Lonchura striata: one gene and its partner. Each later gene encodes a partner of the first gene's protein in a complex. Links are inferred from orthologs where the notes say so. Each region holds a gene or a part of one and is shown in the gene's direction. Other genes may lie near its edges.

Region 1 (7,818 bases):
CCTTCTGGGCAAGGGAGAATCAAAGGAGCAATTCTTTTGCCCCCTGTGATCTTCTTACCTTTTCTCCAAGCAGAAATCAGAGCACACAGAGATAATGGTCATGTTCATGGTTTTGTTATCTCTCTTCATTATCATTGGTGTGATGTTGAGAACCTTCTTCCACGTAAGTCAATATCTTGTTTGACACACAGCTGTCTGTCTTGTAGCTGCAGTGCCCAGATGCCCCTGTATTGCTGGGTAGCACAGGAGATGTTTTTCCAAGCCTGGAGCTTCTGGCAGCATCCACAGCACCCAGCTCAGCAGGGCCCAGCCTGCCTGGGGGAAGCTTTTCCTGCCTTCTCTCCCAGCTCTCCCCAGCTCTGCTTTGCTCTCCTGCCTTCAGCCACACAGCAATGAGAGCTTTCGTCCACTTCTGCGTGGAAGAGTTTTACAGGAAAACTGATGTTAGAAATCTCCCGTTTTCCATCCCCAGATGCGTTTCCTGTCCCATCAGGTTGACTCCACACCCGGCCACGCCAGGGAATCGTGGCTGAGAAGGTAAGTGCTCCCTGCCCATGCCACTGCTGTGCCACCAAGAGTCTTTCCTGCGCAGAGCAACTCCTCCTGGAGCCCCGCAGCCGCGCAGGTGCCGCTGCCTGGGACTCCCCCGGCTGTGTTTCCAAGACGTCGCGTTTGGGGGAGCCCCGGGAAAGCGGCTCCTGAGCGACAGCGCTGGGCACGGCCAGGGGCTCCCAGCCCAACCAGCCCTTCCCACATCAGCGCTGGGATGGATGCCTTGGGCTCCGGTGCACTCCCAAATTTCTGTGAGCACCAGCAATACCTCTGTGTTCCCAGAACGGTCTCCTCTGCTGATGCCTCTGCCCTGTTTTTCCCTGCTCCCTCCCCACAGTGGCTGGTGAGGAACTCACTCCCATCCTCTCCAGTTGCCTTTTGCATGCAGGGCTCATTCCCTGCATTGCCAGCCATTGCCATCCCTGCTGGGGCTCCCCATCTTCTTCCTTAGGCTCTGCCGACACACCCCTGAGCAGGAAGAGGTGCTGGCGCCTGCTGCAGCCCTCCCTGCCAAACCTCCCTGCTTACAGAGCAGGAGCAGGGCCCTCTGGGGATGGGATGTCCAGAAGCCTTTTTCTTCCCATTCACCTCGCTCACGCCATTGCTTTGCAGCACTGGAAATGGCCCTTCCCAACTCCTCCAGCAGCGGCTTCCCAGACAGGGCAGAGCACAGGCAGCCCTGTTGCCCACAGTCTCCATCAGCAGCTGCTTTCTCTGTTTCTCCCAAATTTCCCTTTCTGATTTTTTCAGGTTCTGTGTAAAACTTCCACAGAGAGGGAGGAAGGATATGAAGGAGGCACAGATTGTAGAGCAGGAAAGGGCAGGGAGCCCCTCCGAGTGTTGCTCCTGTTTCCCTCCTATTCATGGCTCTTCCCAGTGTTGCTCCCCATTTAGGAAATCTGAATTGCTATGGATTCAACGTCTCAGGGATGCCTATGAGTACCAGAGGAAAACTTCCCAGGAAGACATGGAAGAAGTGTGAAGAAGTAAGGAGGAAGACTTTGAAGAAGTTAATGCGATGCCAGCAATTTTTCACCTCCCATTTTAGCTGAGGCTCTCCTTCCATGCTGTTTCGTTGGCTGTTCTTATTCCCTTAGATTCTTTTTCCTTGTCTGTTATTTTCATGCTGTTAATTTCATACTGAGGGAAGGCCAGAGGGTGCTGCAGGCAAGCACAAGCTCTGGACACCCAGAGGAGGCATCAGTACCTCTGGGTTTTCCTCATCCCATGTGGCAATGTCCTTCCTGCATTCAATAAAAACCAAGTTTGTCCTTGTTCCTCCCGGTGTTGCCGATGTCTTTGTAAAAGCAGTTTCTGTTCTCCTTCATGCAATTGGCCAAATTCAGTTCCAGCTGGGCCTTTACTTTTCTACCTTTCTCCCTGCGTGCCCCAATGACATCCCTGCCATCCTCCTGTGGTGCTGCCCTTCTTCCAAAGCTGTAAATGGTGTGTTTTCCCCGAGTCCCAGGCAAAGCTTCCTGCTCAGCGGCTCTGCTTCCTCACCAGCTCATCTTTGGGCATACAGGCACAGCCTGTTCCTGCCTTTGCCTTCAAGGATTTCTCCTTTCACAATGTCCAGCCTCCCTGGACGCCTCTGCCCCTCAGGACAGTGTGCCCAGGGAGCCTCTCAAACAGTGTGGCTGGACTGTCTCTCCCTGGGCTGCCCCCCCAGCCTGGATGGATCTCATCCACATTGTGACTGTCCCCACCCCAGAGGCCCAGAGCCTCCACCGTGTTGTGTAGAGGGAGCTGGGAAGGTGAGATGGGCCAGGAGGGGATTCCCCTGCTGCCCTCAGCAGGGACCTCTTTTTATTCCCCCTGTCTTTTGGCTCCCCTCCTTCTGCCTGCTGCCAACACCCTTGGGCATCCTCGACTTCTTGGATGTGTCTGCCTGGGACATTTGTCCAATGGCTGCTTCAGAGTGGCTCCAGCAGTCCCTCTCCCTCTCCCACTCCCTGATACTCCTTATCTTTCCACTTCCCCCTTTCAGCTCTGCCACACAGCTGAGCAGAGCATGCACCTGGTTGTTCCTCACCCAGGTGTTATTTCTACCAGCCTCAGTGCCAGTGCCTAGCTCCAGCACTCCCTGTAGAGTTTTCCCTTTCCAACGAGGCCTTCCAGGATATCTCTTTGGATATCAAAGAGGCTTTACAGTAGTGCATCAAGAACATCCCAAGGCCACTGTAGCTTTCCAGGGTCAACACTTTTGTGTTCCAGATGTCTCCTGTGAGCACAAGAGCTCTGGGTGGATAGCTGGGAAGGGGAATGGCCGGTGTCCTCCTGCAGAAGCCATGGCACTGGTGTCCCCATGGTGCTAGCTTGGAGCTGCACAAGCAGCATTGTCCCCTCTGCACCCCAGAGGTTTTCCCCTCATCCTCGTTCCCTCTTCCTCCCTCACACCTGCCTGGCTCCCAGGCTGATGGTTGCATGGTTTCCATTTCTGATGCCCCTGTACACGCTTGAGAGCTGAACTGAGTGATGGCAGAGATCTTCCCTTGGTGGCCCTGGGAACCCCTGGAACGCACACAACGTCTTCTGGGGTTCTTTGAAAAGCTGTAATGGAAAGGAAGAATTACAATGCAGAGGATGTACAGCAGGTGAGGTCTGGTAGCATGTGCTTCCCACTCTTCCTCACCTTTCCAAATCCTTCCTTTGCACTGTGCTTTCCAGGTTCTGCCTATTTACAGACAATTCACACCCAGTGTTTTCCCAGTCAGTTGAAGGGAGTAGGAAAATCTCTTCCTCCACATCGCAGTACCCTGCATTGCACAGCTCAGTCAGGGATTCATTTTCCTTGGAATCAAGAGCCTGCTGTTACTTTTAGTACAGGCAATGCCTGCACATCTTCTTACACTTGTTCTGGTGTAGGAACTGCTGAGGCTTTACTTGGATACTGCTACTTTGGTGGCTATATCCCAGGATATTTCCTTGGATCCCAGTTCTTTAGCTTTTGTTTCCTTGTCATTTACTTGGCCTTATTTTCTTGGATAATACCTCCTTGCACACAATATTCTTGGCTTTTTCCTTAGTACTCTTTCCTTGACTATTTCCTTGAATTTCCTTTGCCGTTATGTCCTTGCCTTTATTTCCTCAGATGTTGTTTCCTTGTTGTCATTCCAGATGGAAGAAGCCTAAGGAAATGCTGCTACTGAAAGACAAGATGCTCCTGCCTGGGCCCTGCCCTGCATCCAGCACCCCAAGATCTCAACTGCTGACTCCATGACCACTCTCTGTAGAGGAAGATGCTGCTGGTGGGTGCCATGCTTAGGACACCCCAAAGTCCCCTGGGGACTGGGACAAGGAGGATCCAGGAAGGCCCGGGTGTCCCAAGCACTCACTGCAGCCCAGCCTCTGGAGCCACAGCCTTTCTGGGGCCATGACATCCTGGAGGCACCCTGCACACATGACAGGGTTCAGAAGTATCCAAATGTCTGTCTAGGTGTGTCCACGTGTGTGTCCAGCTGTGTCCAGGTGTGTGTCTATGTGCGTGTCCATGTGTCCAGCTGTATCCAGCTGTGTGTCCATGTGTGTGTCCAGCCGTGTGTCCAGATGTGTCCATGTGTGTGTCCATGTGTGTGTCCAGCTGTGTCCATGTGTGTGTCCATGTGTGTGTCCATGTGTGTGTCCATGTGTGTGTCCAGCTGTGTCCAGCTATGTCCATGTGTGTGTCCAGCCGTGTCCATGTGTGTGTCCAGCTGTGTCCAGCTATGTCCATGTGTGTGTCCAGCTGTGTCCATGTGTGTGTCCAGCTGTGTCCATGTGTGTGTCCATGTGTGTCCAGCTATGTCCATGTGTGTGTCCAGCCGTGTCCATGTGTGTGTCCATGTGTGTCCAGCTATGTCCATGTGTGTGTCCAGCCGTGTCCATGTGTGTGTCCAGCTGTGTCCAGCTATGTCCATGTGTGTGTCCAGCTGTGTCCATGTGTGTGTCCATGTGTGTCCAGCTATGTCCATGTGTGTGTCCAGCTGTGTCCATGTGTGTGTCCATGTGTGTCCAGCTATGTCCATGTGTGTGTCCAGCCGTGTCCATGTATGTGTCCATGTGTGTGTCCATGTGTGTGTCCATGTGTGTCCAGCTATGTCCATGTGTGTGTCCAGCCGTGTCCATGTGTGTGTCCATGTGTGTGTCCAGCCGTGTCCGTTCCCCGCGCGGTGCCCGGGGGCGTGGCCTGGAGCTCTCGGTGCCGCCCCGCGTGATGACGTCACGCGGACGGGGCGTGCGCGCTCCCGGCACTTCCGGGTTTCCCGGCCGGAGCCGGTGAGCGGGGCAGGCGCCGGGGGCGCCGGGGGCACCGGGGCGGTGGGGCCTGGCAGGAGGGGCGGGCTGGGCGCGGCCCGTGCGGTGCGGTGCTGACAAGGGCTGCGCGGGGATGAGGGCCGTGGAGTGCCGGGCGCTGGGGATGCAGAGTGACGGGGTGTGTGGAGCGGTGCGGGGCGCTGGGGCCAGCCGCGGTGCGGGCCGTGGGGTCTGGCAGGTGGCGCAGGGTTTTGCGAGCCCGGGGAGCGCTGCTCCCCCTGCTCTGCACGGCTGGTCAGGCCCTGATCCCTCCCCAGCCGCCCCGATGCCCCCGCAGCCGCCCGTGCCAGGCCCCGCACGCCTGGGCTGCGCTGCCCAGCCAGCAGCCTCGGCCTCTCATTCCTCCTCTCCGTGTCCCCCATGGGGGAACAGCGGGTCAGATGTGCCTTTCCGAGGGGCCCCACTGGGGGTTGGTGTCTGGTCCTCAGTTCACCCCCACGAGCGCTGACACCCCAGATCTCTCGGCCCGTTCCTCCCACTAGCCAGAGATCCCAGCACCTGTGGGATTCTTACAGCTTTCCCTGATTTATCATGTGTTACATTCTCAATATATCATATCAAATGAGCAGTTGCAAACAAGATCTGGTTAAGTCTTGTCTAAAACGCAGAGATTAAAAGGCCCTTTCCTCTGCCTACCTTGCAGCAACCGCCGTCCCCTGCTGGGGATGCGAGCCACCCACCCATCCGGATGGCACCAGGAACATCCACGGGGAAACTCCAGCGCTGGCAATCCAAAGCAACACAAAAACTGGGAATAGAAACTTGGGAACATCTTGCCTCAACACGCTGGGGCTTTCACAACCTGCTTGGCCCGTGCATGGTGGCTCCAGTGGCTGCAGTGCCACGGAAAACCAACCGCAGCTCTCCCTGCAGCTCCAGCAAATTGTAGCCTGGTGCAGAAGCAGGTATTAGGCTGAAGGAAATTCCCAGTTTGGAGCATTTGGGAAGCACAGTCTCGCCGTCCAGGCTGGTAGCTCAGTGGCTGCTCTTCCTCCCCTGGCTGCTCCTGGGCCCTGCAGGGCAGAAGCTGGACAGGTGTATTGAAGGTGACACTTCTCCAGCCACCACCAGGTTTGTCAGCTGCGATAAATAGGGACAAGGGTGGTGTGATGGTGCCATTCCTCACTCCGTGCCTGTGTTCCTGCTGTGGGAATCACAGCACTGCTCCATCACTCTGGGCACAGCGAAGGAGCCAAAGTCAGACCATGAGGATCCTGCTGGGGCTCTGTCATGTCCTAGCCCTTGCTGAGCTGTTCCCAGGGGTTTTATCTTCCAACCAGCCAATGCCCATGCCATGCCACTGGCTTTCCTGCTCCTGGGCTGTCTCTGTGCCCAGCTTGTGCTCAGCTCTGGCTGGAAAGCAGGAGCTGTGTTGGAGGAGAGGGCTGTCCCCCCAGCAGCCCTTGAACCAACTGTGCCATCAGAGCCCCCATGTCCCTAGGGCAGAGGGTGACTGGCACAGTACTCGTGCTTGGAAAATGACTGGCTCTGTGTCCAGGGCTTGAGTCACCCTCACGCTGCCGTCGTGGGCTGTTGTTTTCCATCCCAGAGCACAGGCAGTGACCTGCTGTTTATTTATAACTCACAGAGCGTCGCTTCTTGGGAGACCGAGGAGCCAAGCTCTGGGACAGAAGCTTGCTCTGCTGGTATGAACCTTGCTTCCAGCTGTTTCCAAAGAATCTGGCTGGTTTGCAGCAGTCTGGGGAATCAGCAGCTCTGCCCTTGCACCGTGACTCTTCTCCTGGGTAGGTCGGGCTCCGTGCCTGGGGTTGTTCCTCACCTGTTTGCTTTTCCCTGTTTCACCCAGGAGTCCCTGGGGTGGTGACTGCTGGGAAACCTGGTGGGTTTTCTCTACTGTAGCTGTGCTTGTCTCTGTGTTTGTACATCCATCCCATCTCTTCCAAGATCACAAGGAACAGCCGTGGCTTTCCAGGATCTGCCTGGAAGTGCTCCAGAGTTCTCTAGGTCTTCCTAGACCCAGTGCCCTGTTCCAATTCCCCTGTGTTTCACCTAAGATTTTGTTTGGTGAAATCCTCCTCAGAGCTGCTTCCCTGCACTTGTTATTCAGGAAAATGCTGTCCCACAGAAGTGGTGCCATGTGGATTCATGGTGCTGGAATAAACTGGTTGGACTGGTCGTGGTGGGAGTGGAGAGTCCCATGGTGAAGGTGGCGGGTTGTCCTCAGCTCTCATCTCCTGCAGGCTCTCATCTCCTCATGGGAGAGGTGATGCTGGCAAAGGAGAGTGTTTTCGGGGAATAACTCTCACTTTGTAAAACTTAGACAAGGTCTTTGTAAAATTTAGATGAAGTCTTTGAAAAACCTCTGCTGTCACCCCTTTCCCTGTGACCAACTCAGGACTCCGGGGTGGGCTTGGAGCTGGAACACCTGTGCTGCCTCCCTGGGCATGAGAAATGCCACCCTGTGCCCCTCCTGAAGTCTCCCACCCTGGGGTCTCGCCCTCTGATCTCTCTCTGGTCTCTCACCCTTGAGTTTTCTCCCACACCTGGGTGTTCTCTCACTCTTGGATTTCCCAACCTTGACTCTCCCATCCTTTGGTCTCCCACCTTTATTGTCCGGGTAGGATGTGCCTCTTGTCCTCAGGGTGTAGAAGGAAGTGGTAGGGAAAGGGGCAGAGGTTCTCCAGCCCTGAGGAGCTGGAGGCTCCCAGGTGGAAGGCAGAGATGGGGGTGGCTCCCTGCGGTCCTTGTCAACCACTGCTGCCACTTCAGGGGCCCCTCACTTCCCCAACCCCCCCAGCAGCCCCTGAGCCCATGGTTAACTTTCCTGTGCTCTGCCATTTCTGTGTTGCAACACAAGGAGAGGAAATCTTATGACAAGCCACAGCAAAAGCAGTTTCGTTTTCTCTGAAATTGTCTGTGAACCCTGGAAACATTGAGGATCTGTCCTGGGTTTGGCCCCCAAGAAGTTCTTGTCATACTGCTCTCAGCAGGGCCAGCTGCTGTGGTACC
Region 2 (7,425 bases), on another chromosome or scaffold:
TTTTGGCATTGTCTGTCGCATTCTTTGGAACCTCAACAGGGAGGACAGGAAAAGTCTGCAATAAAGCCAAAGACATCCTATCTGAAAAGAACTGAACTACATTGGACAAAATACTTTAAAGCCCTGCATGGAAGAAAAAAACACTTCAAACATTATTATGATCATATTTGGACAAAGAGTAAGTTTTATATCCATATTTGCAGAGCAAGTGATGCTGTTGCTTCTCACCAAGGCACCAGCATCAAGAGCTGTACTCATAGTAGGAGCATTATTAAAACCAGCAAACCAGAGTGCAAATGTTCTACCAAGTCAAACAGCAGACACAGCAAGATAAGAAAGAAATTGTGCCCATAATTCCAGTCCACAAGAAGAACACTGCTTTAGTTTCACAAGGAAATTGCCTAGTAGCAACAATATCAGTTCTGTTTTTTCTGTAGACAGAAAACAAAACACATTGCATTTTATTAGTGGTAATAAGAGAACAGATGATAGGAAAGGAAGATCCAATAATGCTTTTTCCTCTTTAACATTTGCCTAGACCTTGAGTTCAGCCCCTGTATGTCAGGATCCATCGCTGTACGGGCCACCAATTGTCAGCATTGGTGCTTGGCAGTAACCAATGGTAGATGGTAACTGACTGCCACTGTTAGTTTATTATCTTACTGTAAGACTTTCATACCTTCTCCCTGTGAGTTCTCATGGGCAGTTCTCACAACACTGGCTCCTTTTCCTTCCACACAGCTGCCTGACCCTTTCTCATCACAGCCAAGTGACTCCAACTCTCCCTCAACCAGCTGAGCCACTCTTTTATAACACCCATCCTTACTGGACACAGCTGTGACATATTAAAGGCAAGGCTGTTCCTACTCTTTGGTAATTAGTACAGCTGCAACTCATCAGGGGCAAGATTGCCTTCAGCACTGTCTCTATTCTCTCACAATCCATTCTCCCACACCTGTAGGGCAAAAAGCCAGTGAACCACTGCTACAGCAGGAAACAGAAAGTCAAAGATGTACTTGCAGGGGCTGTGACCAACAGGTTGCCAGCTCACACCAGCTTTTCTCAAAGAGAGTAACTGATTTATTTTTGGCTTTATGTCTAGTCAGAATCACCAATTTGAGTAACCCTTGCTGAAAAATACTGAAAATTTAGGTCTCAAATTCTTGTAAAATTTAAAATGCTAAACTATGAGCACTTATGTGTGAAAGAACTTAAAACACTACTGAGGATACACCACTAGAGCTCAGCTCTTTCAATATGGTTGAAAATTCAGCTAATTAATATTGAGAGCAATTTTAAAAATCTTGAAATGAAAGAGCACAATGAAGAGAAAAGTACAACTGGTGCACTTTAATCCAAATACTAGTTTAAAGAAACTATTCCATCACAATGAGCTGAATACCAGGCATACAGGCAAAGATAAGAGAGAACTATTGAGTCTAACTGAAGTTTCTTCTGTGGAAGAGACATTTTAAGATCAAAATCTCAAGCTCTGGTACAAAACAGTAATGTAATCTCTGGTTTAAAAGTATCATAAATAATTTCTAATCCTTGTGGCTACACCAAGAGATCATCAGTTATGATGTAGGTTCAATATAAGAGTTCAAAAATCAAGAGATAAAGAAAAAGAGCCAAAAGTACATATAAACCCTAGTCAATCAAGTGAGAAATACCACTGCTGACCTTGAAATTTATCTCAGCATTTTGAGACAAGTTTATAATCTGAGTCTTATTAGTGGGTGACCTTGGACCAAAATCATACTACAGTACTAAGCATCGCCTTAAACATAATAATACTCCAGCTAACTTTTTTGGTATAAAGACTTATGAATTCACAAATTTAGTTACTGGCACACAATAACTTCAGGCTTATCCATAAGAGTGGGCTTGCTTCTGTGTCACAGGAGGACATACAGACAGATTCAGAGTTGCAGAAGAAAGAAGTAAGTAAAGGATTCCATATCTGTAACTACCTGTGTTCAGGAAACATGCAAATATTTAGGATGGCTCTTTGAAAACCCATTAAATTGGTTGGCTGAGCCTGACTGCTTGAGGGCTCTTCAAAACCTCCTGATTATTTTCACTTTCAACCTCATGGTTCACTTACAACCCCCATGGAAACATGTATTTAAGATAACTATGCATAATACTGTAGAACTTCACAGGCTTTCGCAGAGCGACAAATAAGCCCTCATTTTGCCAAGTCACATTTTTCCCCTAAGAACATCATGCTGCAGTTTCTCTTGCTATTCAGTTAGGTTGCTTAAATAATCTCAGTCCTTATAGCACTGTATCATTCATATTTAAATTATTAGTCTACAGATAACTTGAGCCTTACATCCACAGTATCTCACAGATCCAGATGAAAGCAGTGCAAGTCTCACAGCATTTGCAAAAAGTAGATGGCTGCTTTTGGCTAAATTGTTGACTCCCTGGGACACATTGGAGTGTTTGAGAGCACTTGCAGAGCAGATCATTTCAATATGGAGACAGTGGACACATGAGAACTCAATCACACAGCTGCAGACCTTGGGCTTTGGAAGAGGCTATGGATGTGGCAATGAAACAACTAGATAAGATACAGAACTCTGACTTTGTCCTTTAATGTTTGGGGACTTAAGGATGCCTGTAAGTGCTGGCTTTGGACATTCGAGCAGGTAGAAACTTTTGTCCTTCCATTTCTGTATCAATAGTATCCTCTGAGTATTCCATTCTCTACACAAAATTGCTCTATCAGCTCATTAATTATGTGCGTGTAAGAAAAACTTCCAAAGGAAAGGATGTAAGAAGGAATAGATTCCACATTTAGGTCTGAAACTGAGTATTTCACTGCAGAAGCAAGTATAGGTGCTATGCAGGCACATTAGACATCCCATTCTCTCTACCTCCAGAAAATTATTAATTAGCACATGCTAATTAAAGCCTGGGTTTATGCTCACTCTTAACTCTCACAGACATTAGAGCCATAACTGATCACCAGGCTTGCTAGGAAATCATCTTTTTGGCTCACCTTCTTACCAGGTTTTCACTTTCCTTTCCAGATGCTGCCATAGGAGTTTATGAACATGAAAAGAAACCACCTCTCCCTGCAAACAAGGCAGCTGATACCTGGGTGGAGCCACACTTTTGTACTTCACCTGCAGTGAGAGGTGACACAGGAAGCAGAGCATGGGTATAGATAGCAGGTTCCCTCTTCTCTACACAAGGTGGATCACAGCTCTTTCTACTGAATCTACTAGGTAGAACCAGAACGAGGGTGTGGGAAAACCGATACACTTCCTGAACAGCTTTGGAAAGCCCCATGCTTGACCACAGTTCCAAAGAAACACTCTGTGATCTCCACACATCCTCCTGTCTCCTACAGGCTTTGTTCCTGTGCTGTCCATGCAGTTTCTTTACTCTTCAAATTATTCCTATTTTCCTTCATCTTCTTAGATACAACTCACCATACTGAGTTAAGGCACTATGTCAATTCTCTGGCACACATCCTCCTTCACTTAGCCTTCCTCAGTCTCTCACCTCACCTCTATTCAAAAACCCTTAAACTAGACCTAGCTACTCTAAGCCAATCCCTGGGCTTACCTCCCCTCATGCAAAGATCAAATCATAGGGATGAGCTGGACTCAAACCATTCTAGCATAGGCTCAAGGCCTTTCTCAAAGTTCAGAGCTCTTGCCTATGAGTCCCTCAAAGCCAAGTATCTACTCTGCAAAATAAAATTTGTGCTGCCACGTGGGGGAGCTTGTGCTGTGGCTGATGCTCATCGCTTCCAGATCAAGAGAAAAGGACAGCTCAGCAGCCTTAAGGACTGCAGCCACTGCAAACTCTGTTCTGGAGAGGCTGTTTGAAAAACCTGACACGTGTAGATAGTACACAGACACTTTAATAAAGACGTTCCTTTTCAAAATTATCTTGGGTGACAGTAATTGACTTTGCCATAGCTTGTAAACTGTAAGTTGTAAAAATTTGCAAATTCTAGTTGCCCTTAACCTGGTAAAATAATAGAGTTTAGACTGGAAAATACCTGTAAGATCCTTGAGTTTATCCATTAACTAGCACTGTCAAATCCATCACTAAATCACGTCCCTAAGCACCATATCAACTAGATCATGATCAGAATGATAGATAAAATAAAATGAAAATTCCTATATTTTAAAGGGATAAGCAAAGCAAACAAGTAATAGGGCTCAGTTCCAGACCCCCACTGAGATGATTTATAAACACAACCACCAGACTGGAGTCAACTTTAGCCCTTGCTGAGCCATCTTCATCTGCAAAGCCGTCTTGACAGCTGAAGCAAACTCAGGTGAACCAGCAATCCAAAAGGCAAGGAATCATACTTACCAAATAGATGGACTTGAAGTCTTCTTGAAACCCCTTAAAATCACAACTGTGCCTCAGAGACAAAACCAGAGCTAAAACTCAGCTCTCGAGAAAATAAGCAGTCTGGTAGCCTGAGGAGATGAAAAATGACAGGGGCGGGTGGTTGGGTTTTTGGGTGGAGGTAGTTTTTTTTGTTTGCTTTTGGAGTTTTTTGTGTACGTGGAGTAGATTGTCTCGTTCTCTTTTCAAACCAAAGACATCGCTTGAAAGCTGTTTGTCGGTATGAAGAAGGCTGCTCACGTGGAAAGGGAAGACAGCTGGGGGCCACTCCAGCCGTGAGCTGCACCCCTGAACCACTGGGCAGGCTAGACCAAGCCCTCTCACGAAGCACGGCAGCGTCCCGGAGCCAGAACAGCGCGCTGCGGGGCGGCCGGGAGGGGCGGGCTCGGCGGCCGCGCCTCCCCCGGGCGGGGCGGGGCCGGGCGGTCCCGGGCCGGGCCGGGCGGGGCGGGGCCGGGCCGGGCGGGGCGGGGCCGGGCCGGGCGGGGCGGGGCCGGGCCGGGCGGTGCCGCTCCGTGCGAGGCGCGGGCCGGCGGGCGCAGCGGCGGCCCCGAGGCGGGAGGATGCGGGCGGCGCCCGGCGCGCAGCCGGACCGGCCCTTCAAGCTCAGGAAGAGTCTCGGTAGGGGCGCCGGGGGCGCGGAGGGCTGCGCGGGTCGCAGGGGCTGCGCGCACACGTAACGCTTCTCTTCTCTGCCCCGCAGCCACCCGGCGGGAAGAAGTAGCAGGGATCCGAGCCAAGTTCCCGACCAAAATCCCGGTAAATCTCTGGTTTGTTATCGGAGCTTGTTGCCGCTGTTTAAGGAAAGAAGCGTGTGAGGGGAGGGAAAAGGATATGGATATTTTAGGTTTTGCTAAGTGTGACTCTAATTAAAACAGGTAATTGTTGAGAGGTACCATAAAGAGAAATACCTTCCTCTCTTGGACAAAACCAAGTTTCTGGTTCCCGAGGAGCTGACCATGGCACAGTTCATAACCATCATCAGGTGGGTAGTGCATACTACTTGTTTGGATTTGCACCTGGACTTGGCTGCTGTTCCCAGGGAAGGTATTTCCTAGTGTGCTGCTGGGGACATCTTGCTTCCTTTGGTGGGTGGGAGGATAACACTAAAGGTGTTAGTAGTGTAATGGCTTCCTTCTCTTGCAAGTGTTTGAAGATAATAAACAGATGTTTTCATAGGTGCATTTGTGTGAAAAATGTGGTCTTTTTTGGGTTCATAGTCCCCTCCCTTCTCTGTAATTGTAGTGAAAAAAGACTATGTAAGACTCTTGTTCTGCTCTTTTCCTGCCTCATGGACTTGATACTGGGGCTCTGTGATCTTGTTCTGCTTATGACTCCCACTGCCTTGCTCTCTTAGTGCACCTAGCTGAATTAGCTTAAGTTCAAAGCAGCTCTTGAATGTGAGCAAAATGAAATGTTCTAAATTATTCTTTGTGAAACAAAGTCGCCCAAAATACTCAGTGGTATTTTCTGACAAAATGTGAAAGCTATGTTTTTCAGCATACTTTTTGAAGTATAGAAAAAGATCTTTCTAGATTGTAACTTCTGTAAAAGATGCTTTTGGCTCTTGGTCAACTTAGATTGTAATCCTTGCATGTAATGTCTCTGAAAAAGACTTGTTTTTTGAAGGTAGACTTTATAGTAAATGTAACAGACTGGAGCTGGACTCCTTTACAAAATCTGCACTATGGAAGCTTTTGGTTTCTTCTTTGGTTACTCACACTTTTTCCTGGTAACTGGGATCTCCAAGCTCATGCTCGGTAGCACCTTTGGTGTAGCCATGTAAGCCTTTCCTCAGAGCACAGGCCTTTGAGCTTCCAGTTAAGTTCCTGCTGATGGAAGAATGTAACAATAACTTTACACAGCATTTCTTGTACCTACTTCATGCAACTGCTCTGCTTAATGCATGTCATAGACTGAAGTTGAAATCATATTCAGCTTGCTAATGTTTAATCCTCTTTTTCTCCTCTCTTTTTCAATTAGAAGTAGGATGGCTCTTACAGCTACACAAGCTTTCTACCTGCTGGTGAACAACAAAAGCCTAGCCAGTATGTCCTTGACAATGGCAGAAGTGTACAGGGACTACAAAGATGAAGATGGCTTTGTGTATATGACCTATGCTTCCCAGGAGATGTTTGGATGCTTATTACCCACTGCCCAAGGGAAAACCATGGAATGCTTTCAGAAAATCTAAGATTGGGTTCATATGCTGCAGCAAAGCAGTTTGCTCTGAATCATGCCTGTGACATGAACCTCGGAGATACTCCTTCCAGTGTGAGCTCTTGAGCTCTGTAGTGGGAGTTATGATCCAAAAGCTGGCAGGACCAGCTTAAGACAGAAATGGTGGTACACTTTCCTTAGGTAATAATTTGGATATATATTTTTATATTTGAAGACACTATGGGTTAGGTTTTTTTCTTTTGAACTGCACCTCCACTGCTTTGCAATATCAGTCTTTGTTGTCAAACTGATTTTTAAGGTTTCCTGAAAGCCTAAGAGAAAAATAAAGAACCTTTTAAGTATTGAGTTGAATATTATTTTTAATCTGGGGAAAGACTCTAAAAATTTGTCTAGGAGAAGCTCCTATAATAATTTTGGGAATCAATGCTTTTTAAATGAAACACTGCTTGCACAGCTACTCTGAACTTTTGAACAAAGTATCAGTTTTAAGTTGTGTCACCCATGAGCAAAGCCATAGCATGAAAAGTTCATTAAGATAGGTATCTGGGCTGTGAGATTAAGTAGTAGTGCCAGAGCAGTGTAGAGTTTAACACCCAAATAAACTGTCAGCTGTTACAGAAAACACTCTCTGTGGTATAGATAACTATTTAAATAAGCAACCTGATTGCTAATTAGCATAACTGAAATGCAGATAGCAGGATTTGAATGGTAATAAAGTTTCAAGAGTTATTTTCTTGCTACTGAATTTTGCTAGCATGGTTACTCTAGATACTGTCATATCCATTCCCCTACAGGCATATCCTGAAGGACTTTGGTGAGCCTTCTCTCAAAAACAGAGACAAATCATGTACTTTGTGATTA

What was found.
Region 2: the proteins of PLEKHM1 (region 1) and MAP1LC3C are in contact, whole or in part, in a crystal structure (PDB 5DPW), measured with the Homo sapiens proteins. The link is inferred for Lonchura striata from reciprocal best matches to the Homo sapiens genes PLEKHM1 and MAP1LC3C. Residues at the interface, in NP_055613.1 of Homo sapiens: Glu632, Asp633, Glu634, Trp635, Val636, Asn637, Val638, Gln639, Tyr640; in NP_001004343.1 of Homo sapiens: Phe13, Arg16, Lys17, Glu25, Ile29, Phe33, Lys36, Pro38, Asp54, Lys55, Thr56, Lys57, Phe58, Leu59, Val60, Pro61, Glu63, Leu64, Ile72, Arg76, Phe114.

The regions. Positions count from the first base shown.
Region 1 is NC_134627.1:2,527,311-2,535,128, forward strand, and holds the start of PLEKHM1 (pleckstrin homology domain-containing family M member 1), read left to right. Parts: upstream 1-4,779; 5' UTR 4,780-4,809; intron 4,810-5,491; 5' UTR 5,492-5,919; intron 5,920-7,818. UniProt on the Homo sapiens protein: Acts as a multivalent adapter protein that regulates Rab7-dependent and HOPS complex-dependent fusion events in the endolysosomal system and couples autophagic and the endocytic trafficking pathways.
Region 2 is NC_134605.1:47,769,871-47,777,295, reverse strand, and holds MAP1LC3C (microtubule-associated protein 1 light chain 3 gamma), read left to right. Parts: upstream 1-4,946; coding exon 4,947-5,004; intron 5,005-5,086; coding exon 5,087-5,142; intron 5,143-5,261; coding exon 5,262-5,368; intron 5,369-6,366; coding exon 6,367-6,577; 3' UTR 6,578-6,903; downstream 6,904-7,425.